4 linked regions of the Struthio camelus genome follow. The protein of the gene in region 3 interacts with the protein of the main gene of each other region in a pairwise test. Links are inferred from orthologs where the notes say so. Each region holds a gene or a part of one and is shown on either strand. Other genes may lie near its edges.

Region 1 (7,643 bases), on a different chromosome or scaffold from region 3:
ACATCACCAAAAGTTGACTGGCAAGACATCAAGGAAGACAGGACCATTAAGTTCAAGTCCAGGACACCTGGGTTGGATCGTGGCCACCAGCTCTTGGATGATGGACTCTCCAGTTTGGTCTAGCTCTGGAATGAGATGTAGATGTTCCCATGTGACGATCCCCACTCAGTGCTACAGTCACGAAGAAGAATTCTGTTTTCTTTCATTGTTTTACAGCCAGGAGATGCAAGGAACTGTTATTTGCTAGACTCCTGGAGCAGACTGTGCAGGTGGATCTCTGCTGTCTTCTGCGGTAGGTGGACGCCTTGCATCCAAGAATGGTTTAAAATGTCTTCGAAAGATGGCCTGTCCGAGGGTCGCAGGGCCAAACACCATTTGATGAGATGCTGGCATTCTGAGGAGAGAAGCCAAGGGTCAAGCTAGGAAGGCCCGAGACTCCTGCCTCTCTCGTGTCACTGTCCGGATTGCCCTGCTTTGTGCTCAGGGCTGCTCCCAACACCCAAATACATCAATCAACTAACATTTTTGGAGGGTAGCCGGCAGGGACGGCAGGACAAGCGCCCACCTTCTCTAGCCTCCAGCTAACCGAGGAAGAGATCAAAACCCTCCCTAACCAGTAAGAGCTGGACGCTTGCGTATCCAGCATCATCTCCTAACACGTGCTATTCCCTGATGCAAAAAACCACGTGCCCACCTGGAGAGACCCTCTGTCGGAAGTACACCTGGCCCCGCACAATCTCTTCATCGTGCTCAAAGGGGATGTCTCCGCAGACCATGTCGTAGAGTAACACACCCAGGGACCACACCGCCGCCGAGCGGCCGTGGTAGCGATGGTAGCGGATCCACTCTGGGGGGCTATACACCCTGGTGCCTGCAAGAGACCGGAGGGACTCGTCACGCGGGAAGAGCCGGCATCCCTCAGAGCACACCGGCACCGGGGAGGAAACGTTTGTTTTGAACATCATTAGGGTGGTTCCAGTCGCATTCGCCCCAATTGACGCTGCAGCATCTCCACCTCGCAGATGCGATCGAGGGCGACATTCATACCTCCCAGCTGCTGTTTAGCAACAGCGGCGTCACGGCAGGGCGCAAGGGAGGCCGGCAGCCGGGGGCCGACCCGGCGCGGGGAGCAAACGGGCTTCCCCATGCAACGCCGACCTGCGCTCGCCTGCACCAGTGCCACCAGCTGCAAAACACGGCGTGGGGCGATGCAGCCCACGCTCGAAGCCCTCGGGGAGCCGGAGAGGCGCAGATGCCTGCCCGGGCACCCCCGGGCGCCGAGGCCGAGGGAAGGGGGGGGCCACCGGGATCTGTGCGACCCGCCCGCCACCACGTGACTCTTGTTTACAAACTTTAGGTTGTAAAAAAAAGCCGCCGGTGCCGGAAGGGGGCAGCACTGGCTCGGGGAAGGCCCGGGGCCCCGACCGTTACATGCAAAATAAATAAATAAATAAATAAATAAATAAAATAAAATAAAGCACCCATGGGAGGTGGGGGAAAAACCCGCCCCCCCATGCAGGGGGAAAAAAATAAAAAGGCAAATAAGGGGCGCGGAGCAGCCCAAGCCTTTCCGCAGCTGCAGAGCAAACGGGCTTCGCACCCGGGTTTTGCAACCTCCCCTCACAACGGCTGTTTGTTTTTGTAGGGTTGCCTTCTCTCCCCAACCCCCCCACCACCCCCAGCTTCCCCCACACGGATCAGCAGGTTGGGTGTCCGGGCAGGGCCAAGCGCCGGCTCCCGTTTCCCAACGCGCACCCCGCGACAAAAAAAAAAAAAAAAAAATCAAGCATAAAATAAAATAAATCAAATAAAAACTTTGCAGCGCAGCCGGCAACAAGCCGGGGGTTCGGGGGAAGGGGGGTGCGAAGCATTGCAAACCGGGCTCACCGTCGAAATCCGTGTAGACCGTGTCCTTGAGGAGGGCGCCGGAGCCGAAGTCGATGAGCTTGAGCTCGCCGGTGGCGAGGTCGACGAGGATGTTCTCGTCCTTGATGTCGCGGTGCAGGACGCCGCAGCTGTGGCAGTGCCGCACGGCCGCCAGCACCTGGCCGAAGAGGCCCCGCGCCAGCTCCTCGGGCAGGGCGCCGCGCTCCGTGATGAAGTCGAAGAGGTCCTGCACCGGCTCGGGCCGCTCCAGCACCAGCACGAAGCTGTCGGGCCGCTCGAACCAGTCGAGGAGGCGGATGACGCCGCGGAAGCCCGAGCCCACCTTCTTCAGCAGCAGGATCTCCATGGGCACGCGGGTGCCGCCGGGCTGCCGGGCCACGGCCGCCGTCAGCCGCCGGGCCGCGCCGGTTCGGCACCCGCCCCCCCCTCCCCTTCATCCCCCCCCCACCACCACCACCCCCCGGCGCCCCCGGCACTCACCAGCTCGCCCCACTCGGAGATGCGGTCCCGGGCCACGTGCTTGATGGCCACCTGCAAGGCAAAGGGCAGCGGCGGGCTGAGCGCGGCGCCCTCCCGGCCCCCCCCCCCCTCCACGCTCCTCTCCCAACCCCCGGTGCCGCCCCCCCCCCCCCGCCACTCACCGGGGCGCTGTCGGAGAGGCGGACGCCCGAGTAGACCGAGCCGAAGCCGCCGCTGCCCAGCAGCGGGCCCACCTGGTACAGCTTCTCCAGCGGCTCCTTCTCCTTGCCTGCGGGCGAGGCAGCGCCGTCAGCGCGCCGCCACGGCGCCGAGCCGAACCGGGACGAATATCCCCCCCCCCCCCCTTCCCCGCCACCGCGCGCCGGACCGGCTCGAACCGGACCGGACCGGGCCTCACCTGGCTGCAGCTTGGCCGCATGCAGCTCCCCGCCGGGCCCCGAGCGGAGGTGGGCCAGCGAGTTGATCTTGGAGAGCAGCATCCCTTCCCCGTCGCCCGGCTCCAGGGCCGGCACCGGCGCCGGCACCGCCCGAACCGCACCGGGCGCCGGCGGCGCGGTTCCGGCAGCCGGGCAGAGACGCGGGGGGGGAGGGAGGCGGCGGGCGGGGAGGGGGCGAAGAGCCCGGCCGGCGGAGGGGGGCGGAGGCGGGGAGCGGGAGCGGGCGCGGCGCGGCTGCTCCGCGCGCTGCCGGGCTCCCGTGTGGCGCGGCGGCCCCGCGCCGGCCGCGGGAGTAGCGGGGGGCGGGGGCGGGCCGGGGAGAGCCGCGGGGCGGCGCCGCGTCGGGCCGCGCCGCGCCGCGCCGCGGGGGCCGCCCCGCCTGCCCCGGCGCGTCGCAGCCAATGGGGCGCCGCCGCGGGCGCGGCCCGCGCGCCGGAGGGGCCGCGGCGGGCCACGACGTGGCGGGAAGGAAAAGGCGCCAAAGGGGGGGCGGGAGCGGGAGCGGGGGCAGGGCACGCGCATTGTGTGCGGGCACCGCGCGCGCGCGTCGCCGCCGCGGGCTGCGTCCGGGGCGCCGTGAGGGGACGCGGTCGCCCGGGCTCCCGTCGCGGGGCGACGCGTGCGGGGTGGGGGAGGGGGGGCCACTGTGAGGGCACAGAGGCGCCACGGGGGTGGGTGGGGGGCGGCGGGCTGACGTGGGGGCATTGTGTGAGCGCACACGCGGGGGGGGGTCTGCGGGGGGGTGGCCTGCGTGACGGGCTGTGGGTGAGGGGGGTCCCCTGTGCCTGACAGGCTGTGTGTGTGAGATGAGGGTACCGCATGTGTGACAGGTTGTGTGTGAGGGATGGGGGGGGTCACCTGTGCCTGACGGGCTGTGTGTGTGAGATGAGGGTACCGCATGTGTGACAGGTTGTGTGTGAGGGACAGGGGTACCATGTGTATGACGGGCTCTGTGTGAGGGACGGGGGTACCCTGTGCCTGACAGGCTGTGTGTGTGATGAGTGTACCACATGTGTGACAGGTTGTGTGTGTGTGTGTGTGGGGGGTCACCTGTGCCTGACGGGCTGTGTGTGTGAGATGAGGGTACCGCATGTGTGACAGGTTGTGTGTGAGGGATGGGGGGGGTCACCTGTGCCTGACGGGCTGTGTGTGTGAGATGAGGGTACCGCATGTGTGACAGGTTGTGTGTGAGGGACAGGGGTACCATGTGTATGACGGGCTCTGTGTGAGGGACGGGGGTACCCTGTGCCTGACAGGCTGTGTGTGTGATGAGTGTACCACATGTGTGACAGGTTGTGTGTGTGTGTGTGGGGGGTCACCTGTGCCTGACGGGCTGTGTGTGTGAGATGAGGGTACCGCATGTGTGACAGGTTGTGTGTGAGGGACAGGGGTACCATGTGTATGACGGGCTCTGTGTGAGGGACGGGGGTACCCTGTGCCTGACAGGCTGTGTGTGTGATGAGTGTACCACATGTGTGACAGGTTGTGTGTGAGGGATGGGGGTACCGCGTGTGTGTCAGGTTGTGTGTGAGGGACGGGGGTACTGTGTATGTGCCTGACGGGCTGTGTGAGAGATGAGAGTACCGCATGTGTGACAGGTTGTGTGTGAGGGATGGGGGTACCGTGTGTGTGACAGGTTGTGTGTGAGGGACGGGGGTACTGCATGCCCAATAGGCTGTGTGACACATGGATATTGTGTGTGTGTGTGACAGGCACACGGGTACTCTGGACACGTGTGCGATACATACATGGTTGTGTGTATGTGTAGCTGTGTGTGTGTGTGTGTGTGCACGGGGAAGGGTATGTGTGCACATGGATACCTGCAGGCAGCGTGTGCGGCCGTACAGCAGCATACGCTTGTGTGCGTGCACTTGGGTGTACCTCATATCCCTGCAGGTGTGAGCGCGCGCGTGTGTAAACTGCTGCTTTAAATAAATAAATAAATAACAATATTTGAAGATAAAATAAAAAAAGCTTTTACATGCGATTTCCTTTTTAAAAACAATGTTTTCCACGCAGCGGCCTTCACCTGAAGCGGCCCAGGCAGCGGGGGCTCGCGCTTCGCACCCCGCGCGCGCGGCCCCCGGATCCGCGCTGGCTCTGCTCCGAAGGGCCGCCCGAAATCTCGCCGCCGGATTTTTATTACATGCAAGCTGGGGCAGGAACAGCTGTTTTCCAAACAAACACTTCGCTGCAATGGCAGGTTGCATCAACACGAAAGTGAAACCGGCTGCCAACGCCGGGCGCTGCTGACTAAGCCCCGGCCGGGAGAAGCGCAAAGGGTGAAAGCAACGAGTGGGGCCAAAGCGGACGGAGGTGCCCGGCAGCTCCGTCGGGGGCATCGGGGCCACCACATGGGACCCGTCCCTTCCGGGCCTTGGCAGCAGGATTTGCTCCTCGCCGGACGTGAGGTTTCCCAAACGGCCGGACGACTGTAGTTTGGGGGATTCGACTCGGCGGGGTGCGGAGGTGACAAAAGAAAAACCCCAGCGGCTTCTGCCGCCGCTGCGACACGGCCGCTCCGGGCAGCGGTGGAAAAAACGCCGGGTGGATGTGAGGAGTTGCAATTTCTCCCACCGGTGAAGTGGGAATAGGGCCCCCTGCGCCCCGGCCGCGTCCCGGCGGGGCCGGTGCAAGATGATTCGCCGTTTTTATTGGCAGCCGGTGGAAGACGGTGGCGCGAGCGGTTCAGCCTGTTTCGGATCCTGTTCTGTGGCAACGTGGGTGCTTCCGTTCCTGGTCCAAATCCATGGAAACATCCCAAAAGGCAGCTTGGACTTTTGGCATTAAAGGGCTATTTGGCGGCAGCAGCCGGCATCGCCCAGGCCCCCTTTTTGAAGAGTTTGGCTCGCCTCGCGCCGTTATTGTCGTTACTTCATCGCTTCCTAGTACCCACAAGCAAAACGGTGCCTGAACTTTTCCCTTTTCTAGTAAAAGTGGAGATTCCAGCTGGGGGTTCTTGACTAACAGCCTTTTTTTTGGGTGGTTGTTGTTGGGTTTTTTTTTTTTTTTCCACAGAAGTTGCTGGCTGAAATGCTTTGCCGAGTTCCAGAGATAAGATAAATAATTTACTGGATGTAGGTTTCTGATTACTCACTCTATTAGCATTTAGAGCAAAGAGCTCCAGCCACTGGGAGCTGAATTATTACAGACGAAGCCCATCTGGGTTCCCGTGCCTGCGCGAGACCGAGGAGTTCCCAGCATCCCACACATACTTGTGGAATGAATTGCTGAAATCTAATGGGTTTTACTGGAAATGCTGGTGAGCGCCGGTCTCTCTTAGTTTTTCTTCAAAAAAAAAAAAAAAGAAAAAAAGAACAACACAAAAACAGAACAAAACCAAACCAAAAACACCCAACAACAGGCAGCTGCTTCGGCCGCTTGCTGAGTTAACCCCCCCCCCCCCAACAGCGCTATCGATCTGCAAACAGTCGCCCACAATAAGATAAGCACCGAGCGGCTGCTGCTCTCGCCCGGGCCGGGAGAGATGCTCTTTCCCGGAGCGTCTCTGCTCGTCCCCGTGGGTCGGGCGCGGGACGGACGCCGGAGCGGGTGCCTGGCCGCTGCGGGCCCTAGGGCGCTTCCCGCGCCCGCCCTGCGCCTTTTGGGCCCTGCAGATGCTCTGCAAGGGGGCTCGAGCCCCCTTCCCCCCTCGCCCCGTCCTGTCCCCCGGGGTTTGGTTTCTGCCCAGAAAGTGACATTTTGGTTTCGGGAAAGTCTGCAGAAACCTGACGCAGCAGCTCTTTTTCCTTTCCTTCTTGTGTGCGGGGAAGGGTGTTGCTTTTTTTTTTTTAGTGTTATTATTATTATTATTATTTTGGGTGACGCAAACTCAAGGCGGAGGAGAAGGAGGGCAGGGAAACGCGTTTCTCCGGCGTTATTCCCACCCGAAGCCTGGGCAGGTTCGAGGCGACTGGTTTACGTGAGTCAACGTTCGGCACCGGGGCGAAGTGACTCAGCATCTGGCCCCAAAACTCATGACCAAATTCCTTGCCGCCGTGATGATGAAAAGGTGCCCAACGGGCTGCCCTGGAAACGGAGGCTCTTTATTTACAAACAGAGCACACCCGGGGGAGCGGCAGGGCTTTCCTAGGGGCTGCCTTCCTCCGACCTCCTCCGGAGCCGGCAGGCAGGCGCATCCCTCTTCCTCGCGCCGGCCAAGCTGCTAATTAGCGTCGGAGGGAGCAGCGTCGTCTTGCAACCCAGATGATTTGGGGGCCAAATCATCGACGCGCGCGCAAACCTACCCGCGCGCTCATTTTTGCTGAGTCGGCGGGCGCCTCGTCCTACCGGCACCCAGGCGGTTGCAGCCTAGCGGGGAGCCCTTCCGGATCGGGGAAAACCACCCTCGCCTGGGAGACGAGACCGTGGAGACACCTCGAGGCCTGGGGCGCGCTGACGGCGGCACCCAGGAGGGGACGGGGAGGCGCTCCCGGGACCCGCACAGCGGACGCGGCCGGCTCGCGGGAACGGCCGGCTCGTGGGAACGGCCGGCCCGCGGGAACAGCCGGCTCGCGGGCGCTCTGTCCTTCCCGGTTGCATCCTTCCCCCTCCAGAACGAGCCACCCAGAAACATTTCCGTTTCCCAAACCGGTGGCACTTTTCCACCCAGTGCTCGGCCCCCCCCGGATTTGCCTTTCCCTTCCTCCAGCCTGGGCTTTGCTGGTCCCGGCTTGATGCCATTAGCGTGTGTCAGAGGTTCAGAGTAACATGAAGCAAACCCCATCCTGCTTGCAACCTGCCTTGCGCTTCTCCGGAGCAACAACCTCTTTTCCAACCCGCTTCCGCCCGGATGAAAAGCCGGGGGAGGTGGCAGCATCCCCGGCCCCCCGGGGGGCT
Region 2 (7,497 bases), on a different chromosome or scaffold from region 3:
GGTGCTGAGCCCCTGCCCCGCTCTCCCTGCCTGGAAGAGGACCCAGGCGTCCGGGGGGGTCTGTACCAGGTGCTGGAAGTCGCAGACCAGCCCGTCCTGGGGGCCGTCACCCGCCACCAGGGTTTTGCTGTTTGACGTCAAGATGTTGAACTTGCGGAAACTGCGGGGCAGAGAGAGGCCAAGGGTGGGGGCCGCTGCAGCTGGGACCCCCGCAGGGGCTGGGATCCTCCCTGGGAGCCGGGATCCTCCCTCGGGAGCCGGGACGCTTTGGGGGCCGGCACTCAGCTCTCACCCTCGGATCTTGGGGGGGTCCCTGCAAGAGACAGCAGGGCGTCAGCGGGCCCTGGGAGCCCCACGGCGAGGCTGGGGGGTCCCCAAATCCCCCCTCTGTGGGGAGGCGGGGGAATGCATCCGGGTGTGGGGGGGGGCCCGACCTGTCGATGTGGATCTTGGCCTCCATGTGGTGGCTGCGGTCGTGCAGGTGGACGAGGAGGCGGGCGCGGACGGAGAACTTGCTGGCCGTGCGCAGCACCAGCGGGCGCTTGCTGGAGGTGGGCATGCTGGGCTGGAGCTCCACCACGAAGGCGCTGGGGGCGAGCGGCCGGCGGGGGGTCAGGGCCGCCCCAGAGCCCTGCGTCCCCCCCCCCGCCCAGGCTTTGCGCCCACCTCTGGAGCAGGTAGGTGAGCAGCTCCCGCAGCCGCGTCTCCAGGAGGGGCGGCTCTGCCTGCAGCGGGTCCCTCTCGTAGGTCACCTTGTGCCGCAGGTCCCCCAGCGCCCGCAACAGCTGCAGCAGCTGGAAGAGCCCCTCGCCCAGCGCCGTGAACCTGCGGGCGCCGCGGCAGCGTCAGCGGGGGCCGGCCGCGGCGCCCCCAGCCCCGGCCCGGCCCGGCCCTACCAGGTCTCCAGCTGGAGCAGGCTGGTGTCGGCGGGGGCCCCCAGGCAGGCGCGCTGCTGCCGCTCCCGCCAGGCCCCCAGCTCCTGCTGCAGGAAGTCCCGCAGGGTCTCGCTGCGCCCCAGCAGCTGCTGCATTTGAGCCAGCACGTCCTGGGGGGAGACGGGAGCCTGAGCAGGGGGTGCAGGGCAGGCCTGGCCCCCCGCCCAGCTCAGGGCCCCGCTCACCCTCCGGCTCCGGTCCAGCTTCTGCAGCTTGGCCTGGAGCCCTTGGACCTGCTTGGCGTACTCGGGATCGCTGGTCCTGTTCTCGCCTGGGGGGTCAGGGGTGAGGGGGGGCCGGCACCCCGGCCCTCCCCGGCCCCGCGTCTCTGCTGCCTGCAGGGGTCGCAGGAAGGATTTGGGCACCCCAAACGAGCCTTACCCGGAAGGTAGTGCACCTTGTAGCAGAAATCAAACATGTCCTGCGCGTCTTCCAGGTGGCGGAAGGCGCGTTCGGCGTCCTGGGGGCAGAGCGGGGGGTGAGGGGGGCCGTGCCGCCCTGCGCCGCCCGGGTGGCCGTGCCGGCGGGGGCCGTTACCTGCAGGGCCGCCTGGAAGTCGGCCAGCCGGCGCTGGATCTCCTGCTGCCGGTCGCTCTGCGGGGGCGCGCTGGGCGCTGGGGCCGCCCCCCCCTGCGGAGACACGGGGCTCTTGGGCACCAGCCGGCCCGGCGGGCGGGGGGGGGCGCCTGCCGGCCCCCCTCCTACCTGCTGCCCCGCGTGCGCCAGGCGCAGGATGCGCTGCTCCTCCTGCAGCAGGTTGGCCACCAGGTTGGCAAATTTCTCCGGGTGCTCCTCGAAAGCAGCCTGCGGATGAGGTGGAGGGGGGGGTCAGCAGGGTGCGGAGCCCCCCCAGGACCCCCCAGCCCAGCCTCGCCGCCTACCTGGAGGTCGCGCCTGGCCTTGCGCAGGTTGTGTTTGAGCATGAAGTCCTCGTCGCCCAGCCCCGGGCTGCCCAGCTGGTCGCCCAGCAGCGCCAACAAGGAGTGGAAGAGCATCCGGGCGTGGGAGGAGAGCGGCTCGGCCGCCTGGCGCCTGCCGGCCCCGCGCGGGGTCAGCGGGGACCCGGCGCGGTTCCCGCCGCCCCAGGGCTCCCCCCGTCCCGTCCCCCCCCCCACCGCCCCCTTACCAGTTCTGGTCCTCGATCCAGGCCGCCAGGCACTGGCGCACCTCCATGGGCAGCGCCACGCTGCTGTACAGCTGGTCGACCTGCTCCAGGGCGGCGTTGGCCAAGCTCTGCAGCTCCTGCCACTGGGCCATGCTGGGGCCAGGCGAGGCCGCTCGCTCGGCAGGCGGCTCAGCCGCGGGCCCTGCCCCGGCCCGGGGCTCCGTGCAGGCGCTGGCAGCCCCGGTCCTGGCCCGGCGGGGAGCGGTGAGCCAGGGAGGGCGTCGGGCTGGGACCCGGCCCGGGACAGGCGTGCTCGGGGGGGCCGAGATACGGGGTGGGGAGGCAGCCCTCCCCAGAACAAGGGGAGCGTCCCAGGGCACCCCCCAAAGCGGCTCCCTGCACCCCCCCAGCAGCACCCCCAAAGGACCCCTCGCAGGGCCTCCCTGCAACCCCCCCCGGGGGCACCCCCTAAACAGGGCTCCCTGCGCCCCCCAGGGGCACCCCCCAAAGGGCCACCCTGCACCCCCCCCGGGGCACCCTTGGCAGGGGCTCCCTGCACTCCCCCGGGGACGCCCCCTAAACAGGGCTCCCTGCAACCCCCAGGGACGCCCCCCGGCAGGACCACCCTGCACCCCCCCGGGGACGCCCCCTAAAGAGGGCTCCCTGCACCCCCCCAGGGACACCCCCTAAACAGGGCTCCCTGCACCCCCCCGGGGACACCCCCCGGCAGGACCACCCTGCACCCTGCCTAGGGACGCCCCTAAAGAGGGCTCCCTGCACCCCCCCAGGGACACCCCCTAAACAGGGCTCCCTGCACCCCCCCGGGGACGCCCCCCGGCAGGACCACCCTGCACTCCCCCGGGGACGCCCCCTAAAGAGGGCTCCCTGCGCCCCCCGGCGCCCCCCGGCGCCCCCCGCGGCCCCCGCCCGGTGCTCGGCGCTGCGCTCCCACCTCGGCCCCCTCCGCGGACTGCCGGGACGGGGCGGGGAGGGCTCCGTGGCCCCGCCCCCTCGCCGCTCTGCGCAGCCATTGGCGGAGAGCGGCGCCGTGGCCACGCCCCCCCGGCCGGGAGATAAGTCTTCCCGCGGGGTCGCCCGCTTCCCAGAAATGACGTGTGGAGGGGGGCGGGGCCATGGGGGGCGGGGCTAACGGGGCAGGGAGGGGGAAGATGGTGGCGCCCTGCTGGGGGCAGGCCGCGGCGGCAGGGACCTGGAGCCAGGGCCGTGGGGCCAGAGCTATGGGGACAGGACCATGGGGCCAGGAACAGGCTGTGGGGCCAGGGCTGTGAGGCCAGGGCCAGGCTGTGGGGCCAGAGCTATGGGGACAGGACCATGGGGCCAGGAACAGGCCGTGGGGCCAGAGCTATGGGGACAGGACCATGGGGCCAGGAACAGGCTGTGGGGCCAGGGCTGTGAGGCCAGGGCCAGGCTGTGGGGCCAGAGCTATGGGGACAGGACCATGGGGCCAGGAACAGGCTGTAGGGCCAGGGCTGTGAGGCCAGGGCCAGGCTGTGGGGCCAGAGCTATGGGGACAGGACCATGGGGCCAGGAACAGGCTGTGGGGCCAGGGCTGTGAGGCCAGGGCCAGGCTGTGGGGCCAGAGCTATGGGGACAGGAACAGGCTGTGGGGCCAGGGCTGTGAGGCCAGGGCCAGGCTGTGGGGCCAGAGCTATGGGGACAGGAACAGGCTGTGGGGCCAGGGCCAGGCTGTGGGGCCAGGGCCATGGGGACAGGGTCATGGGGACAGGAACAGGCTGTGGGGCCAGGGCTGTGGGGCCAGGGCCGGGCTGTGGGGCCAGGGCTATGGGGCCAGCCCGGCTGCCCCAGCCACCCCGGCGCGGCGGCGCTGCTGGGGCAGGCAGGCAGGGCTGGCAGGGGCCAGAGCCCTGCCGTTGGCGCGGGCCGGGCCAAGTTCCCCTTGCCCCGGGGCAGGGTGACCCAGCCATTGATCGTGGCCTGCCCCACACGCACGCATGCACGCACGCACACGCAGCCAGAGGCGCTGCCAGGTGTTTATTGGCGGCTCAGACGAGGAGGACAGGGCCGGCGTGGGCCGTGGGGGCCGGCGGGGGGTCCCCGTCCGAGGTGAAGTAGCAGATGAGGGCCCGCACGCTGGCCTTGAGCCCCGGCTGCAGCCCCAGGTGGACGCCGTAGGCCACGGGGCCGCCCGCGGCGGCGCTGAGCGCCGTGAGGCTGTCGTAGCCCAGGTCGACGGCCGCCTCCAAGGCCCGCTCAGACGCCAGCTCCTCGCAGCCCTGGTAGGCGTAGTAGAGGCTGGTGCCCAGGTTGTACAAGGTGCTGATGCTGGGCACCCACTCCAGGATCCTGTGCACCTCCTGCTCCCCCGGCGAGCTGCAGATGTCCTCGCTGGAGCGCCGGCTCCGGCCCCGGGGCGCCCGGCTGCACCGCTGGAGCCAGGAGCGGGCCCCCAGCGCCGGCAGCACCTGGGCGCCCTGACGCCGCACGGCCTGGAAGGAGGAGGGCCCCGCGGCTGCCACGCCGGCGCAGGCAGCCTGCAGGCGCTGGCAGGCCCTCGCGGCCCCGGCGAAGCGGCTGTGGGTGCTGGCCACGGGGCCCCAGAGCTGGATGTTGGAGAGCGGCGTCAGGCCGGCGCAGGGCTGGACGGGGACGGAGGCGCCGAGCTGGGCCAGGCTCAAGAGCAGGGGCAGGTGGCCGCTGCCCGGGGCACGCTGGAGCCGCACCAGCCCCTGCAGCAGGGCCTCAGCCGTGGGGCCCTCAAGCTCCCGGTACAGCCCCAGCACCAGCGCCTCGGCCTGGGGGCCGCAGCCCGCCTCGCTGAGCGCCAGCGCCAGGGCAGCCTGGGCCAGCACGCGGGGCAGCGCCGGGAGCTGGGAGAAGCCGGGCAGGGCATCGGGCTGCAGGTCACGGCAGGAGACGCCGGCGGCCCCGGGCAGTGCCTGCGGCAGGCCCAGCTCGGAGAGCCGCGCCAGCAGCGCCCGAGCTGCGGCGGCAGCGTCCGGCCCGGGGGGCACGGTGGAGCTGGCCGCAGCGCCAAGGCAGAGGAGGAGGCTGAGCAGAGCCCAGCGCATGGCAGGTCGTTCCCGGCAGAGCCTGTCAAGGCAGCAGGAGGGGGCAGAGCCCATGAGCTCCCGGTGGCCACAGCTCCCCCCCCCCCCCCCAACCACCCCAGCCCCACCAGCGCCCCCGCTCACCCACTGCCGATGCTCGCGTCCCCAAGCCCGCAGGACAGCCGCTGCGTGTCTGTGGCCGACCCCCTTCTCTGGTCCTTTTATAGCCCCTGCCTGGGCCCTTATCGAGGGCCGGTTGCGACACGCTGGGGGCTGGGCCCGATCCTGCAAGCATCTTGGCACCTTCCCGGAACAGAGGGGTGGGAGGGGACAGAGGTCTCCACCCAGCGCGGTGGGACAGAGGAGGGGACGCAGCAGGGATGGGGCAGTGCTCCCCCCATGGGAACGAAGGCATCCAAGTCAGGGAGAGATTTGCACTTTTTATTTGGTCTCTTTCCCCATTAAAAGGTGGCATTAGAAAAGAAAAGGACATCCTTGAGAAACAGCAACCTTTAAACTAAAAACACGGAGATGGACATGAGAAGGGGAGAGGAGGGGGACAGTGGGAGCCTGCTTTCACCCCACCCTTAAAAACTAGTTTAAAAACCTGCAGAAAAAGCAGAAAACTAAATACAAGGAAGCCCACAGGGAGCAGGGCCCGCAGCCCCCTGCTCCCTGCAGGGCTGGGATACACTGAGGGTCTGGGCAGGGCACAAAGAGCCTTTCAGTCCTCCTCTTCCTCTTCCTCCTCCTCCACGCGGCGAACCCGCTTCCGCCTGCTGGGGGGCTGCAGCACCTCATCCTCCTCCACACAGGGCCCAGCAGGGCCTGGCCCAGCACCTGCAGGGGCAGAGGGGGTCCAGTGGGGGCCGGGACCCCCAGCACCATACTCTGCCTGGGGTGGGGGCCCAGCCCTGCACTCAGCCTTCCTCCCAGCCCCACGCTCTGGGGGGCAGGGACATGGTGAGCATCACCCAGCAGCAGCCCTGTGGGAGACCCCCTGGGCCCTGGTGGGGGGCTGCGAGCCCCCCAGGGAGGTGCTGTGTTACATGCAAGAAGCAGGGGCGCAGCTCACCCAGGCTTGCAGTGTCCTCGTCGTCACTGTGCACCTGCCACCTCCGCTTGGTGCCCGCCTGTGCCGGGACCGGGCCCGGCTCAGCACTGTAGCGATGGCGACGGGTTAGAAGAGGCCGACGCTGCGCTGCCCAGCCCCAGGGGCACAGGTCTGTCCCCACCACACGGGGAGAGGCCAGGAGTCTGCCCCCCCCCCCCAAGCTGGGAGAAGACCCAGGTGTCTGGGGCAGGGGTCTAGCAAGAGCTCCCCTTCTCACCTCTCCAAGTCCGATCCCGGCGAAGCCGGTGGCTGCTCTGCTGAGAGGGACAAGGGAAAGAGCGGATCAGGGCTGGTCCCGTCGCTGGGAGAGCCCTGAGCCCAGCTCCCCCCACCCTGTCCCGGCCCCTCACCTGGAGCTGGCCCCTGGGGATGCTGCGGTGCCGAGAGCTGTCCCGGGGATCCCTCGGGCTCAGGTCCTTGGCGGGCGAGGGAGGCAGCCGCACGGCGGAGCTGCTGGGGCGTGAGGGTGGCCGGGATGCGCCAGAAGGACTCCTGGGTAGAGAGGGGAGATGCTGCAGGGCTGGGCTACGCCGTGCCTGGGGGGCATGGTGGTGGTGGTGGGGGGGGTCTCACCTGCTCGCTGGCAGGGGGCCGGACCCCCAGCTTCCGCAGCAGGGCCTGGAAGCGCCTGTCCTCCATAGCGTCCTCGTTCTCCTCCGAGAGCGGCACCAAGGGCACCGGGTGGGACACGCCTGGGCACAGAGAGTGCCGTGAGCCTGGCCCTGGCCCCGGCCCCGGCCCCCAGCCCCAGGCTCCCACTCACCGTCCTCCTCGCGGTCCCCAGCCGTCCGCTTCAAGTAGTTCTCCAGCCACTGCAGAGGCCCAGCCAGGCCTGCGGACACGGAGAAGGCCAGACAGGATCCATCCTCCCGGAGCCAAACGCAAACCAGAGGCCTGAACAGCCTCAGCCCCCACTCACCTTCCTGCCTCAGACGCTGTGCCAGTCCCTGCCCAGCCCCGTCTTCAGGCACCCAGTGCTCCTCCATGGGGCCTTCCTCAGCACCGTCCTCTTCCTCCTCCTCCTCGTCACTGTCGCCCTCCTCTGCTGAGCTGTCCCGGGCGGGTGCCCCCAAGGGCTCCATCTCATCCTACCAAGGACCAGCCCTGCCTTCCAGCACCCACCTGGGACAAGGCTCCCTCCTCACCCTTCCCGCACACCCCTCCTACCGCCAGGAGGGCATGGCCCTTCCTCCTGCGTTTCTTGTACAGTTCCTTGCGCTCCGACACCAGCCCCAGCCCCAGCAGCTTCTCCACCACGCGGGCCCGGGACCGCCTGGCTGTCAGGTTCTTCATGATGTTGCCCAGGACATCTAT
Region 3 (7,033 bases):
ACACGGATGAAATACAACATACGGCGCAGAACCTCCAATCCCAGAGGCAGCATTACACAACATTGCACACACGTAGCACATAGGTAAACACTGCACAGAATCTCAGATGGATGTTTTTTACTTCATGTGAACATGAATATTTCAATACCCTTAAGGAATCTACTTTCCCTTTGTTTTTCAAAAAGCAGTATAAAGCATTAGGTACAAAAAGGCACCAGAGAACTTTTGCAGCTACGGAGCTGCCCAGCGCGTTTGCACGCATGCTCCCAGCATACAGCAGTGCGCTCCTGGCCCACAGTGGCTGTAACTACAGATCCAAGCGAACGATAAAAAAACCCCAACAAAAACCATTTTGCTTCAATCGCAGTGTTATCACTGAGCACTGACACACAAAACGGACATTGGTCATGTGCATTCTGCAATAAGCAGCATGCCTGCTATCACAGGTATTTATCTTAGGTACCACTTAACAGGCCATCCTGAGTACATGAAAGGAAATCCAGATTAGTTCCACTATTATTAATCTGGGTCAACATTAGAGCATATACAGCAGGTATTGATGCTTGTGAGTGTTATTTCAATTTCTAACACCACCACTTGCTTTTGGATATATTTTTTTAATATCTTAATGACTAGGGTGTTACAGCTAAACTAGTTTTCTCTCATCCATATTCAAAGATCTCATTCTAAAGTTTTGGGAAAAGACACAACTGTATTTAAATTTCCATTCAAATATTATATTGATCAGATTTTATGGGGCGATTTTGACATTCTTCTGACAAGAATAACATTTGTGCACCAGCACTATTTCTTTGAGGTATCTCCTCTTTTGGGCAATAGAATGAATCAGGCTGAAATTATGTAGTTTCAAAAAGTATGAATTCCTATGTCATTTGAACTTCCTGTAGCAACAGAATTTTATCTTGTAGCTTGTCAGCACGGCACAGGTTTGTTACAGCATGTTTACTTTCAAAATAATGCCAAATTCTGATGCTGGGATCCTATCGCTTGACCCAGGAGGTAGAGTCTAGACATATGTGGATGGTCCACTACCTGTGGTATCTCATCACTCTCAAATGCAACTTGATTATGTACCACTGACTTACTTTCTTGCTGAAGTAGGGAGCAATAAAGACCAATCAATTAATTCAGGCTTCTTGAAGACTTTGTTCTGCCTTCATCTTTGTCATTGAGCTGCAAGTTCTTCTCATACAGTTATTTACTAACAGAACATACTGAGAATAAACTCTAGCGGGTTTATCACTTGGCTGTTGGCTATCCAGCAATCCTCAAATAACCGGTACCCTCATCATATTATGAGATACAGTATCAAGCACTATAAACAAGATATTCCTCCTCAGAATCTACATATTCTACAGGGCATACGCACCTGAGATTGCATTTCAAAAGACTTAGCACAAGCTCAGCAGAGGGAGTCAGCTTGCTTCCCATCATTTTCAAAGAGCGTAAGAAAAAAAGAAAAGAAGGAAAGAAAAACTGCCTGCATTACATCAACAACAGGTATGAACTTGATTGCTGGAACAAGAGAATCTCTTGACTTTTTTAAGGTTGTGCAACTAGCGCTTTAGAAAGGTATGTTTCCGTCCACAGTCATGAAAGACTAATTCAGTTGTTTTAAGCCATGCAGCCTTTCCAGAAACTATTAATTCCCTTCTCCCGCTTTATATTTAAAAAGAAAGAAAGGGAAAAAAAATCTGCTTTTTTCACTACTGGCAGATTTCCAAGATAAAGACGACTGCACTCTGCCTGGAACAGCAGTCGGGGCCTGCTCTTGAAACTCACAAAAGGGAACACCACACACAGAGAAAAAGCGACGGATCTGATCAGCCAGAAACGTTTTCTCACCCTCTAAACCAGTTTCTCCAAAAAGGAAAAAAGAAAACGGCGAGCCGGCGGCAGCCCGCTCCGCGCCGTTCCCACGCACCGCGGAGCCGGGCGGTCACGCCGCGGCGGGACGAGGGAGGGCCGGCCAGGTCGGGCCGGGAGGGACCGGGATAAATAACTCCTATTTAACCGGCAGAAACAGAAAGAACATGAAGTTTTCCCTGTTTCTACCTTCCTTCCCCCCTCCCCCCGCCCGCCCGCCCAGGTGCGGATCTTTTTGCGGGACGAGCAGCGACGCCAGGTCAAGGCGACCGACCCGACGGCGGGCGGGGGCTGCCGGAGCGGTACTCGCAGGGGGGCGGCGCGGCCGCGCAGCCCCCGCGCCGCTCCGCGGGGTCCGGCCCCGGCGGGGGGCGGCAGCACGGGGCGGTGCGGTGCGGAGCGGGGCCCGGCGGCCGCCCCGCGGCTGAGCCAGGGCGGCCCGGAGCGCGCTCCGCGGAGCGATTGGGCAACGCGGGAAGGGGATTGGGGGGGGGGGAAGAGAAAAGCAAAGGGGGGGGGAAAGGCAAAGGAGGAAAAAAAGTACAACCGATGGGATGTGCCAAGGTTTATTCCCTTTTATTTCCTCCACCCCCACAAAAGAAAATAAGCCTAGAATCAGGAAGTCAGACTGCGTGATCGCTGCTATAGGTTTGCTTTTTTTTTCTTTCTTTCTTCTCCCTCCTCCTCTCTCTCCCTTTTTTTTTTTTTTTTTAAAGGAAAGAAGTTGGGACTTTCCCTGCGCCGCTCCCAAGGGGAGGCAGCGGCGCGCCCGCCCCCGGGGCGCCCCCGGCGCGGCCCGTACCTTTCTTCTCCTCCACGACGGAGCAGTGGGCGACGCGCCCCAGCAGTAGCAGCAGCAGCAGCAGCAGCAGCGGCGGCGGCGGCAGCAGCACCGGGACAGCGGCCCCGCGGGGCCCGGCGGCGGCGGCGGCGCTGCGGCCGCCCATGCTGCGGGACGGCCGCTCCCGCGGTGCGGCGCGGCGCGGTTGGAGCGCACGGAGAAGCTTTCCGCGGAGCTGCCCCGCTCCTGCCGCGGCCGCGCTCAGCCCCGCTCCGCGGCTGCTCCCCGCAGCATGCCGCGCCGTCGAGGGCTGCGCGCACACGTGCGTGCCCGCTGCCTGCCTGCCTGCCTTCCTCTCCTGCTTCCTCCTCCTCCTCCTCGTCGTCCTCGGCAGCGACGGGTGCGCGGGGTGGCGGAGCGGCTGGCGCCGGCTGCGGGACGGGGCGCGCCCGGCTGCGCTCTCCGCCCGGCCGCGGAGCGCAGCGGCTCCCTCTGGGGACGCCGCGGAGGAGGAGGAGGAGGAGGATGGGGCGGGAGCAAGGAGGAGGAGGAGGAACCGGCGGCGCCTTCCCCGCCCAGGTGGGGAAGGGCGGCCCCGCCACCTGTGCCGCGGTGGGGGGGCGAGGGCAGGGGGCGGCCCCGCTCCGCGCCCTTGGCGCTGGCAGCGAGCAGTCGCTCCGCGGAGGAAGTTACTGAGCAAACAGGCTGAGGGACACAAGTGTTCCCCGGGGGCTCCGGCGAAATTCACGGACACGAAGCAAAAGCGCCTATGCGGACTTCTCCTCCCTCCTTCCCCACCCCCCAACCCCGTCCCAGGAGGGCAAAGCACGCTGTTCAGTATTTAGTGGTATATGCTTGTGGTTAGAGCGTCTTGGTTTTAACCCAACACCTTTCCCCAAAACCGGGAGGAAGCAGCGTCTCGTCAGACAGGCGTGTAAATCGGGACGCAGAAGTGGCACTCGTCCCGGCCGGGATCTCCCCGAGTCAAGTCAGTCTGCTGCCACCTCCTGAGTCAACCTCCAGATTTGTTAAATGCTGTTGCTAATTTCTTCATAACGCTCTTGCGAAGACTGAGGTCTTCAGTCACATAGGCAATAGGATAGGAAGCCCAGGAACTGCTATGATTAATTGGGAACTCCAGCACCGAGGTCCGTAATGACACAGGGTTTGGGAGATGATGTGCTAAATGCCTCTGTCTATCACAACGTGTTGGAACACAATAGATTGCAAAAGAGCCACTGAGTGTATCTTGACTTTCCCCGATGATGCATGTTTTGTGCTGCATTACTGTTCTCCTGCCAGGCAACTTCCTCTGCACTATCTTTTCCTGATAGTTTAACTACTTCCTGACCCAACTAGACATAGAAAAACTGTCCCATTTACTTATATTAGCACAAAAAACATGCTTGAGCAGAGGCCTTTAACCATGTGTCCCATCACACCTGTAATGATTTATTAAGATAAACTGGGTTACAACTGAGTTTCTCGCCGTGCAGCTTTTGCATGCTATAGCTGACAATCTGTTTTGATTGTATTTTGTAAATGATGCAAAGAAGTTCTTTGAAGTAAATTCATGCATTGGTAACATGGGAGCAACTCTACTCATGTGATTGGTTTCATGGCTGTAACTGATGCCGGCATTTGATCTATCAATACAACATTCATGCTGTTTCCTTCAAAGATGCTCATACAGTGCAGCCTCATAACTATTACATGTATACAATTGATTTTCATTTATTTGGACAAATAGGAGGGTTTTTAAAAATTACATGCCCAGGAAAATAAATCAGCTTCTCAGGAGGGAGGGCTGCAAAAGCAACCTCAAAAAATGTTAAAGATTGCAGCTTTCATTATAAGGACGTACAATTAAGACACAATAGAAACAAACCTCAAATCAGTGCTGTAGACAAATATTAAATAAAAACATGTGTCTTTAAATATATTATATCAAGACACAACTGTTGAAAGCAATGGAGTTTTTTACATTTGAGAAAGGAAAGTTCAGAGTGATATCACCAGAGTGATAACGGAAAAATGAGCTCAAGACAGGAAAAAAACCCCATCTCTGATGTATGAATTGAATGGAAAAACTTGTCAAAGTCCAGTCCTAACATACTAACGTACAAATATTTTTGCTGAAGAATTTTTCATGCAATTGTGATTCTACCTGCCATTCTGAGCAGGAATCTGTCATACTCACTTTGCCTCCCATCATGAGCTGTCCTTATGTGACTCCATGTAAAACTGAACATGATGGGCAAGGGAAGACTCAGCAAATTCCCCTTTAAATTCTTCCCCACCCTCTAAAAATTCACTATAGGAAAATCTAGTCTGATGCTGGCATTGCAGTACCACTGACGGGGCTGTGCAGCAAGCTGCCATCACTTTTGTCTTCCCACCTGTTTGAGCCCAAATGTGTTATTTTCATGACATTTGTCCTCTACTTGTGAGAGTCACAAGATAACGTAGGGACTGTAAGACCCGAGGACTTGGATGCTTATGATCACGGTCGAGTCTTTCAAGCCTTCTGCTGTTTCCTATTTACACAAGTGAACAATTTCTGGAACAGTTTAAATTTAAATATGACATTTTCCCAAAAAGCTGGTCACGTACCCAGTGATTGCATTTGATATAACTCCTTTGAGGCTAATGTCACTACGCAAATTTGAGCATGGGCATGCAATATTCCTTCGCGTTGCAAAACTTTAAATACCAGCTGCATGTGTGCATGAATCTACGGCCACGAAACAAAGGTCGACCTTTCGACAACTAGCGTTAAATTAATATTACCTAGTGAGAATATCATACTAAACGCAAAATCTTTCTTCGGCTTTTCTGGGACTCACTTGCTTTGTATTGTATACTTATCTTCCAGATATGAAGCATAAACGCACTGACATAGGAAGTAAAGTCCAGCTAAAGAGAAAGTTCCTTCACATGCGGATACTGCTGGATGGGAGAGCAGAACCGCGACTGCTCCCCAGCTGCGGCCCGTGCTGCTGAGCTGGTCTCTCCGCCACGCGCGGAGAGCAGGAGCCAACAGAGGGAGAGCCACTGACTGCCCTACTGGTGGAAAAAGTGGGAAAAGTGGGATCAATTTTCCTGTCCCCCCCTTCCACATTCTCTCAAAACAGAATAAAGTCTCAAAATCCTTTCAAGAGCAAAGTCGTCCCTGCAGCTTGATTTCTTCCTTGAATAAAACCAAAAAAGGATAGATTTTAATTATCCACTGATAAACGGGGCATTTGCCCCTCCAAAATAATTCATAAGCAACTGCTCGCGGATGGCACTGCTGTTCTTTCCTGCGTTTTGCACAAGTGATTTTAAAGGGCAGGCCTCTTCTCGGAAGAAAAGAAATGAGACAGAGCTGAATTAGCAGGGCTTTTAAATCTGGCTTGCTCAGGTTTCATTTGCATGGTATTTGAGATTGCGGACATTGTAGTTTGCGTTGCAGTTTGTATTCTAAGAGTCCTCACTGAGGTAATAATTCTTTGAGCTTTATGGCATGACATGTTCAAAACATTGCATAAACATTAACTAATTTATCTTCACAAATCTCCTGTAAGGCAGGTTAGTATCTATCATTTCCATTTTATAGATGTAAAATAATTTGCCTTGGGCGGAGTATTAGTGGCAGTACTGGGGTTATCACTCAAGAGCTGCTTATTCCAGCTATTGTGTTTGAATCTCCCCAGATCAGGCTGCTGCTAGAGAACTTCCCTGATGAAAATGTAGATTTTTTTTGTTTAAATACTCCGATTCTTGCTCTCTTCCACTGTTTGTTTGTACAGTGGTGTGTAAAGGACGAGACAGATACACACACGGATGCTGGAGTTAAACCTTAATTACAGTAAGTTCCACCATCAATCCATCCAGTATTTCAACACGTGACCGTAGCATTATCTCAGGAGAGTTCTTACACTTTTATTATTATTATCATTTTTACACCCAGGTTTTACCTGTCACCTCAGTTTCCTTAGTCAGTGTCAATGCTGCATTTTCCAGGGAAGCTTTGCCTCACTCAGAAACAGATTTTTAAATGTTTTAAACTGTGAATAGGGATCTGCAGCACCAGCTTATTCACTAACTGAGGTAGGCAACAGAAAAGTAAATATAAGAATAACAATTGGCACACGTGGAGTAAACGATCTGCAAGATCTTTTCTACTAAGCATCACAGTAGCTTCCTGTGTAGAAACAAGCTTCTGGCTTATTTCTGTACTTTGCTAGGGTGACTTACACGGATACTACTGTGCTGCCTTAACTCTCTTTCTCAACCACAAATCATACATCTCTATATGACTGCATGGAATAAGATCTGAACATGCTGTCGGTACATCTCATGTCACTGGAAGCATCGCTACCA
Region 4 (7,527 bases), on a different chromosome or scaffold from region 3:
ACGGCTGTTTTGGCATCTTTTAATGTCAAGAGCCAAATGCAGCAATGAAAGCAAAAGTTGCGGCTCGAAGTTGCGGCATCGGCGGCCTTAGTGGGAAAACGGCCGGCGCAAGGAACTACCTTAAACAACCGTGTGGTGAATCAAAATAAAGGTAGGGGAGGGGAGGCTGGGAAACGCGGGGCTAGCCGTTAATTTCTTTTGTCTGGCTCACTTCTCTCCCGGTGACACGAGATCCCTGCTATTCAGCGCCAAATTCTGTTGAGCAAACAGAATGAGCGGAGCTGCTGCTGCGGAAAGAGAGCAAGAGCAAGCCCGGGGGGGGCCTGTGAACGCGCGCAGGTCCGCGGGGGCTGCCGGCCCGGAGCTGGCTCGGCTCGGCCCTCCCCGCGCTCGCTCCCCTCCTGCCACAGGAAACCCTCGCTGCTGTGCTCTCCTCCCTCGCCGATAGACGTGTGCACAGATTTATAGTGACAAGCGAGAAGAGGCCGCGCAGCTTTCTCCCTCTCTCGGGGTTTGATGAGTTTCTGCTCCAGATTGGAGCCACTCTTGAAAACGCAGGGGGCTGCTTGTTTTGGTTTGTGTTGGTGTTGGGGGAACAGGCGGGCCGCCGGGGGGTCTCCATGCCCCCTGCCGCGGTGGCCCCCCCGCCTCCCTGCGCATCCGGGAGCCGCTCGTTCCCCGGAGCTTGCAGGAATCAGCAGGCAGGAGAGTCTTTGCCCTCTGCTAAAGAAGAAAACACTACTAAACTTTTTTGGGGGAGAGGGGGAGGAAGACATTAAAAAAAAAAGTGAAAAAGGTGACCAGCCCGTGGATGACCCATGCAAATACAGCCTGGCCAGCATAGGGCTATTCAATGTATATACACCATAAGGGAAGCTCAGCGTTTTACGGGTCCAGATTAGCAGCCCTGCGTTCACGGACCTTAGAGAAGGCAGGCGGGAAGAGCCGAGCGAGCCCCGGGAAGGGCCGAGGCCCGGCCCGGTGCAAGGCGGGCGGCCCCGGCGGGGTGCGGGCGGCCGGGGCTGGCAGGCGGTTTCAGCACCGCGCATCAAAGTGAACGCTGCGAAGGCTTGAACATGGGTAACAATAATCAAAACCAGACTTTCCTTCCCACCACCACAAAGGCTGAGTCCCCACGACGGGGCTTTTTTGCAGGGCCCGGGGCACCCCGCCGGCCGGGACGGCAGCACCGCACTCCGCGCGCTGCAGAAGGAGGTAGCCGCTCCCGCGGCCGCTTGGGGTCCAAATTAACCCCCTATTAGCCTGCCTAATAGCCTGCAGCTAGTTAAACTCAACCCAGCTCACCCTTGGGAGAGAGCTTCAGGAAGGGGCTCATTATTCGCAGCAAATTGGGACTCCTCCTGAGGGGCTGAGCAAGGCCTCTCGCAGGCTCCCAGCCCCTCTGGAAAAGTCCGAGACGGCAAAGAACCGCCCTGGAAAAAGGGGGAAAACGCAGCTTTCCTCGGCCCCGTCGTTGCCCTCGGGCCGGACCCCTGCAGGCGCTTGGGCCTGGGGGAAGGAGCTGCCCCGCCGGCCCGCGCCCACCCCGGAGGGCACGTTGGGAGCGCAAACAGGCGAGAGCGGCTCTAGCCCGGACGCCAGTTTTGTTTAAGACGTGCAGCTTCCATCTGTTGCCACATAAACACACGCTAGCAGGATGCCTTACGCTCCAGCCCCCTATGGGGGGAGGAGAGGAGAGGAGACAGACTTGGGGGTAGCAGTGGTGAAAATCCCCCACCCCCAGCCTGTCCTTTCAGTAACCCCAAGTCCCCCGCGCCTCCCTGGACGGGACCCCCCTGGGCCACACGGGGCGGGGGGAGCTAGCTCCGGAGTCGTCCTAAACGCGTTTATTTGAAATACCACCTCCCCTGCTCGGGACCAATCCATAGGCACCGCCAGCACTTCGGGGGGGGAGCGGCCCAGCTGCTTTCCTGCTGCGGCCGACCTGCCCTTGCAGGCGGCTCCGCGGCCCCTCGCCCGACGCCACGGTCGGGGGCTGCCTGCGGGCCAAGCCCGGCGAGGCCCCCGGGGGCCGGGGAGGGCTCGAGGGTCCCTCCCGCTGCCGCTCCACTGGGAGAAACCCAGTGCCCGCCTTGCCCGGGGCACAGCCTCTCGCCCTGCCGCCAGCCCGTCCCCCGGCTCCCCTGCGCCTTGCGGGGTCTGCCGGCCGCGGCGGGGGACTCCTCGCCCTCCTCCTTCCTCGGGGGGGCGGGCGCGGGGCCGGGGAGCCACGTCGGGGGAAGCGTCAGCGCTGCCCCCGGAGCCGTCCTCGCCGGCCCAGGAGGGGCTGGGGGACGGGGACACCGCCTGCCCCGTCCCCTGTCCCTGCGGGAGCCGGCGGGCTCCCCGCCCGCAGCGCCAGGCTGGCCTAGCAGGCAGCTTTACCAGTCCCGAATTTGCAGTTTTGTATTTTTTGCTCGGTCCTGTGAGATGCCACATGGAAGCCGTTAACGAATGCTCGATAATGATCATGACAAAAGCATTATTCAAATGAGGCAGGTAATTGCAACCAGAAGGCGCGTTCTCCCCTTCCTTTTCCTCCTTTCTTTCTGCAAGAGTTCCTCTCCCATTACTTCTGATCCTGACGGTACTTCGCCAAGAATCACCTTCATCGCTTTGCACCTTAAACCAGATACACTTACGCCGATAAATCACAACCAAACGAAGCACGACCGTGCAGAATGTCCTCAGCGCTCACAGGGAGTTGTTGTAACCGATTTGAACTTTAAATCTTCGTGGCGCTTAAATCTGCGCGAACCCAGAGCCCTGATCAAATTAATGATAGGGTTTTTCTCCTCCAGCCTCCACAAATTACCGGGGTCGAGGCTGCTGTGTTTGCTTGCACCCCGAGGTAGATAATTCCAAGGTGCAGTGACTTTTTGCCTTGCTTTTTTGCTCGCTTGGAGCCTGTTGTTTATTCACAAGCATTACGGTATCCTGTTAGCATTCCGAACAAGGGGCTGCTCACAGATCTGACTCCGATGATTTCCTGGAGGAACATGTGGAAGCAATAGCGGGGTTGTGCACTCACCAGGCTGAGGATGCACTAGTGGAGAGCACGCAAAAGGCTGTGAGCACCACTGGGGACCCTGCAAACCCAGCCACTGGGACCTCAGCTTGAACATGCTTTTCACAGGAGTTGGTTCTCGTTTCTGCCCCCATTCCCTTCAGGGAATCTGCGCTTCAGAGGCTTAATTCTCCTTCTGTTAGGAAGGAGAAAAAAAGCACTGGATCCTGCTGCTTGACTTTGAGAACAAACTTTTCTTTTGTGCAACGCTAAACGGAAGAAAAATAAATAAATAGAAAAGCAGGCGCAGGAGGGAGGGTGGGCGAGCCGCGGGATGGGGGGGAAGCAGGAGGGAGCGCGGGGCGCAGCTCCGGCGTCGGTGCGGCTCCCCGGGCGGCGGCGGCGGCGGCGGCGGCGGCGGCGGCGGCGGCGGCGGCGGCGCGGCGCGCTCCGTTCCTGGGGCTGCACTGCCCCCTCGCCCGCGGCCGCCGCATCGCCCCGCCGCCAGCACCGGCGCCGCGCCGCTTTTCGCACGGACTCTCCAGAAAAAGGCAAGAGCAGCTCCCTGTGAACTCCCACGGCTACCTCTTATCGGCAGCAAATAGCAAGAGCCAACAAAGAAGAGATACCCGACTCTCCCCAGCGGGGATCAAAGCTCTGCCCAGAGCGTATTCAAACAGGACCCACTCAAACGTGCGCAGCCCTCGCCTCCACAGGCACCTCCAGCCCTCGGCAGTGCCCCGTGGCTTGGTTATTACTGGGTTTTGTTTGCGTGGAGCAAACCAAAGGAAGAGAAGAGTAGAAGAGCTTTCCCGATCCCGCCAAAGCGCCACGGTTTGGTGTGGCTGGCTCCTTGTGAAGGTTACCTTTCGTTGTGTCTTTCATTCATAAATATTAGAGATTCGTCTCTCTCCCTCTCTCAGTGCTTCCTGCTTCTGGCTGCCACCCAGCCGTCCATGCAGCTCTCTCTACCAAGCCCATGCTCAGTAGTGTACAAAGGACATGAGGAAGCTGCACATTCGTTTCCCGATCAAACTCCTCATCCATAAACTCACACTGTGACCGCGGACACCGAGCCCGGCGCCCGACCCACCTTCCTAGAGGGTCTGAGGAGGAAGGCTCATTCATGACATTGGGAACACTCTGAGTTTTCATGAAACTTTTTTTTTTTCCCCCTGCAGTGCAAAACTCTCCGATTCCCCCTTTCCTCCCCCTCGCCCCTGCCATATGGCTAACCTCCCCCCTCCTCTGCAAGGCTGGTGAAATCTGGAGGCTGAGACTGGCCCCCCTGCCTGCGTAAGAGCCCGCCGCCGGCACGCCCGCCTCCGGCCGCGGGGCTGGGGGCGCCGAGCGCGCCAGCGCGGCTCTTATTCTGAAGGGGCCGGAGGGGGCTTAATTTCCTGACAGCTATTTACTTAAAGCAAATGATTAGTTTTGGAAGGATGGACTATAACATTGAATCAATTACGGGACGCGGTTTGTGAGCCCATTACAGTCGGATCTGGAGGGAGGGCGAGCGGGAGGGAAAGAGCGCGGCGGAGCGGGGAAAGTCACAAAAGACGTGGACATATTTTGGATATTTTACAATCTGCAGGATTGTAACTGCGGATTACAAAGGAGAAGGTACGAGGTGAGGGAGGATTTTCCCACTTTTTTTTTCATCTTTTCTCCCTCTTTGTTGCTGTTGTCGTTGTTTTATGTTCCTCTCCCCCCCACCCACCCCACCCCCGTAATTTATGTGTATTTATGTGGGCTTTTTTAATGCTCTGTCGGCGGAGCCCCGGTGCGGCTGGACCGGGCGGCGGACGCCTTCCCGCGGGGCGCAGGCGGCGGCGGCGGGCGCTGGGGCCCACGGCGCTGCGCGGGGCGCGGGGAGCCGGCGCTGCGCGGCCGTCGGGGCGCGGGCGGCGAGCAGCGCGGGCGGCGCTAATGACAAACACATTGGGGCGGCGGGGGCCACCGCGCCGCGCTCCTGCCGCGGGGGCCGTAGCGCCCCGACGGGCTCCGCGGGCTGCTGCGGTGCCCGCCCCGGCGGGGACGGGGCCACAAGCACCGACAAAGCGAGGTAGGGTCGTGGCCAGCCGCTCTCTCTCTTCTCGCAACCCGTTTAATCCCCACCTCTGCCCTTGCTTCCTTCGCCCCCGCTGCTCTCCGGTCCCTTCCCCCACCCTTTGTTTTTCACCACCTTCCCCTCTTTAGAACCCCCTTCCCTGCCTAAGTCCCTCCGACCGGGTAGTCTAAAGAGCCTGAGACCCCGAGGAGGGGACACACAAACACCCCCCATCCAGGCAAGCCCATCTCCATCCTGGCGCGCCCCGTCTTTTTTACACGTCTCGGCGGAAGGGAAGATGCTGAATTCAGGCAGCCCGACTGGTACCTGGAGGCTTTCCAGCTTACAGCCCCGCTTACAACGGGAACCCAGCCCCGCTCCTCCCTACCAGACTCCCGAAGCCCACCGCCTTGCAACCCAGGGGAGGGCAGAGTCTTCACGGCCACCGTCTGGATTTTGTCAAGCGCGGAGGTTGCAAATTTGCCAGCTTCTGCCAGGCTGGAGTCCCCTGGAAAGCCCTAGGAGCAAGTAGGAAATGGCTTTTTGGCTGTCCACAGCATTGCTCAACATTTTTGGATGGCGATTCAGCAGCCCAGGAGCCGTTCCAGAGAACAGGACTTGGACAGCTTTTTCTGGAGCGAGCAGCGACAGATTTCGCGAGGCAGCAGCAGCAGCCCCCGAGCTGCAGCAGCCAGCCCCTGCGGCTTGCCCACATCCCGGAGGACCGCGGGAGTGCCTTGGCCACCCCCTGAGCCCTGCGCATGCTTCCCGTGCCCCTTGACGGCCTTTTTGGTGCATCTCTTGCAAATCCTGCAGCCTCCTGGCACACCGCTGGCACCCGGACTCCACCAGCCGGCATGGACCGGCATCACCGCAGGCTGGGTCAGGCCTGACGGACACGGTGCCCCTGGCGATTCCTGGCTGCCCCTGGACCCCACGGGCAAGTGTGTGCAGTCCTCCGAGAGGGTGCAGGAAGGTCCGTGTCTTGCCTGATGGAGAGAGCTGAGAAAAGAAGCCCGGAGCTCACCTCAAATCAGAGTGCCAACCATATTTAATCAGCTCTGGAGGGAAACGCATGTTTGCTCTCCCCTTCCCCCCTTATCCCTGTCGCCCTTTTCTTTTTCCTGGCTACCTCATGTGAAAAAATTTGCTCCAGCTTGGCAAAGGCTTTCCTATTGTTTCCTAGACAAACAGTGGTGGGCTGGGAGCTGCCATCTCTGCTAGGTTTGCTGGGTGTCCCAGGCAGCCTTTAGTCACCCACGGTGTAAGCAGTCAGAGCCTGGCTCAGCCGAGGAGCCGTGGGCACCAGGAGGCCCCGGGAAGTGGCACTTCTCCCGCTCCCTCGGGGCTTCTGGCTCTCTGCGAGCCAGACTGGGGCTGGCAAGCATCGACACCCCACGGTGGGGGCTGGAGAGCGTGAATGCACCCGCTCCCAAACTGAGCAGGCTGATAGCCTGGGTGTCCTCGGCTGTGAGGCAGGAGTGCTGGAGCAGCGGGACCCGCTGTTCTGGGCCAGCCTTGCTCCCCTCTTGCCACCTTTCCCCTGGTTCCCCTGTGCTGCCAAGCAGGGCTGGGGGCACCTTCAGGCACCCCGAGGCATCCAGGGAGGTCCCGTCCAGGGCTGATAGAGCCCAGCTGGGCTCCCGCCTTCATGTGTCGACTTGGCGTCCCTGGACGGGGCAAGAGACAGGATCTGGCAAAACGAGGGGACAAGCATCAAAGGTTCCTCTGTCAGCGGCTGGAGCAAAATGTGAATTGTACAGATCCGGCTTTTAATTATGGGTCTAGAAGTGAGAGGAAGATCTCCCAGCAAGGGACTTCACTTTTAGCTTCCAGTAAACAATGGGCGTTTTAGAAAGGCCCTCTGCTAAACAGTGGTTTAGTTAACCTTCCTCTCAGAGCTTGAAAAAAAGTTTAAAGAAAAATGAGGTCATACAAAGCACTGGGATTTAGGAGTCCGCAAGTAAAACAGCTCTCCCAGCTTGCAGGCAGTCACTCGTCGCTTAAAACGAGACTCCTTGTTCTGGTAGTGCTCTGTAGACATCAAGGGGGAGAAGGTGTGCCACACTGGCAGTGATTGGGCACTGGGGCCACCTTTCTTGTTATTTGCTGCTCGATATATGGAAGATTGTTGAGAGTAATATACATGTATTAGGTTTCAAGAAAGCGGGAAGTAATAAATATTTGAATAAAATGCCTCTCCACAATACTACAGTATCAAGCTAGGATTTGGGTGTCATTTATATAGGCCAAAGAAGACTTGCATGCTACAGACCTTGTTGGTAATTGCCAACTACATCACCTGGTGTAAAATGGAACATAAAATGGATTATTTTATACAAGTCTTGCCTTGCTTGTATCCTTTGTTCATCATGGCCGCAATGGCACTAGTCCTACATGTGAACTCCGAAAACTTTAATAGGATATGTTTACTTCAGTTGTTTTAAAGACCAGGGCATGACTTCTGAGA

The links.
Region 1: the proteins of EGFR (region 3) and PIM1 interact in a protein complementation assay, tested with the Homo sapiens proteins (3 studies listed by BioGRID and IntAct, with this or other methods). The link is inferred for Struthio camelus from reciprocal best matches to the Homo sapiens genes EGFR and PIM1.
Region 2: the proteins of EGFR (region 3) and STAT2 interact in a protein complementation assay, tested with the Homo sapiens proteins (3 studies listed by BioGRID and IntAct, with this or other methods). The link is inferred for Struthio camelus from reciprocal best matches to the Homo sapiens genes EGFR and STAT2.
Region 4: the proteins of EGFR (region 3) and PDGFRA interact in binary tests that used the Homo sapiens proteins (3 or more experiments, as listed by UniProt). The link is inferred for Struthio camelus from reciprocal best matches to the Homo sapiens genes EGFR and PDGFRA.

Annotation. Positions count from the first base shown.
Region 1 is NC_090965.1:4,863,780-4,871,422, reverse strand, and holds the start of PIM1 (serine/threonine-protein kinase pim-1), read right to left. Parts: upstream 3,065-7,643; 5' UTR 2,847-3,064; coding exon 2,765-2,846; intron 2,636-2,764; coding exon 2,529-2,635; intron 2,419-2,528; coding exon 2,368-2,418; intron 2,255-2,367; coding exon 1,888-2,254; intron 872-1,887; coding exon 695-871; intron 395-694; coding exon 237-394; 3' UTR 1-236. UniProt on the Homo sapiens protein: Proto-oncogene with serine/threonine kinase activity involved in cell survival and cell proliferation and thus providing a selective advantage in tumorigenesis.
Region 2 is NC_090969.1:444,094-451,590, reverse strand, and holds the start of STAT2 (signal transducer and activator of transcription 2), read right to left. Parts: upstream 3,033-7,497; 5' UTR 2,993-3,032; intron 2,287-2,992; 5' UTR 2,193-2,286; coding exon 2,062-2,192; intron 1,968-2,061; coding exon 1,817-1,967; intron 1,740-1,816; coding exon 1,641-1,739; intron 1,566-1,640; coding exon 1,473-1,565; intron 1,396-1,472; coding exon 1,317-1,395; intron 1,207-1,316; coding exon 1,121-1,206; intron 1,046-1,120; coding exon 897-1,045; intron 826-896; coding exon 667-825; intron 588-666; coding exon 435-587; intron 314-434; coding exon 293-313; intron 161-292; coding exon 67-160; intron 1-66. Other genes in the region: APOF (apolipoprotein F), read right to left, coding at 4,065-5,090; protein timeless homolog, read right to left, coding at 5,794-5,909, 6,145-6,230, 6,401-6,440, 6,534-6,675, 6,757-6,875, 6,947-7,015, 7,103-7,271, 7,351-7,493. UniProt on the Homo sapiens protein: Signal transducer and activator of transcription that mediates signaling by type I interferons (IFN-alpha and IFN-beta).
Region 3 is NC_090943.1:60,447,709-60,454,741, forward strand, and holds the start of EGFR (epidermal growth factor receptor), read right to left. Parts: upstream 3,146-7,033; 5' UTR 2,835-3,145; coding exon 2,690-2,834; intron 1-2,689. UniProt on the Homo sapiens protein: Receptor tyrosine kinase binding ligands of the EGF family and activating several signaling cascades to convert extracellular cues into appropriate cellular responses.
Region 4 is NC_090945.1:56,954,004-56,961,530, reverse strand, and holds the start of PDGFRA (platelet-derived growth factor receptor alpha), read left to right. Parts: upstream 1-4,437; 5' UTR 4,438-4,483; exon of another isoform or gene 4,484-4,601; 5' UTR 4,602-4,630; exon of another isoform or gene 4,631-4,637; intron 4,638-7,527. UniProt on the Homo sapiens protein: Tyrosine-protein kinase that acts as a cell-surface receptor for PDGFA, PDGFB and PDGFC and plays an essential role in the regulation of embryonic development, cell proliferation, survival and chemotaxis.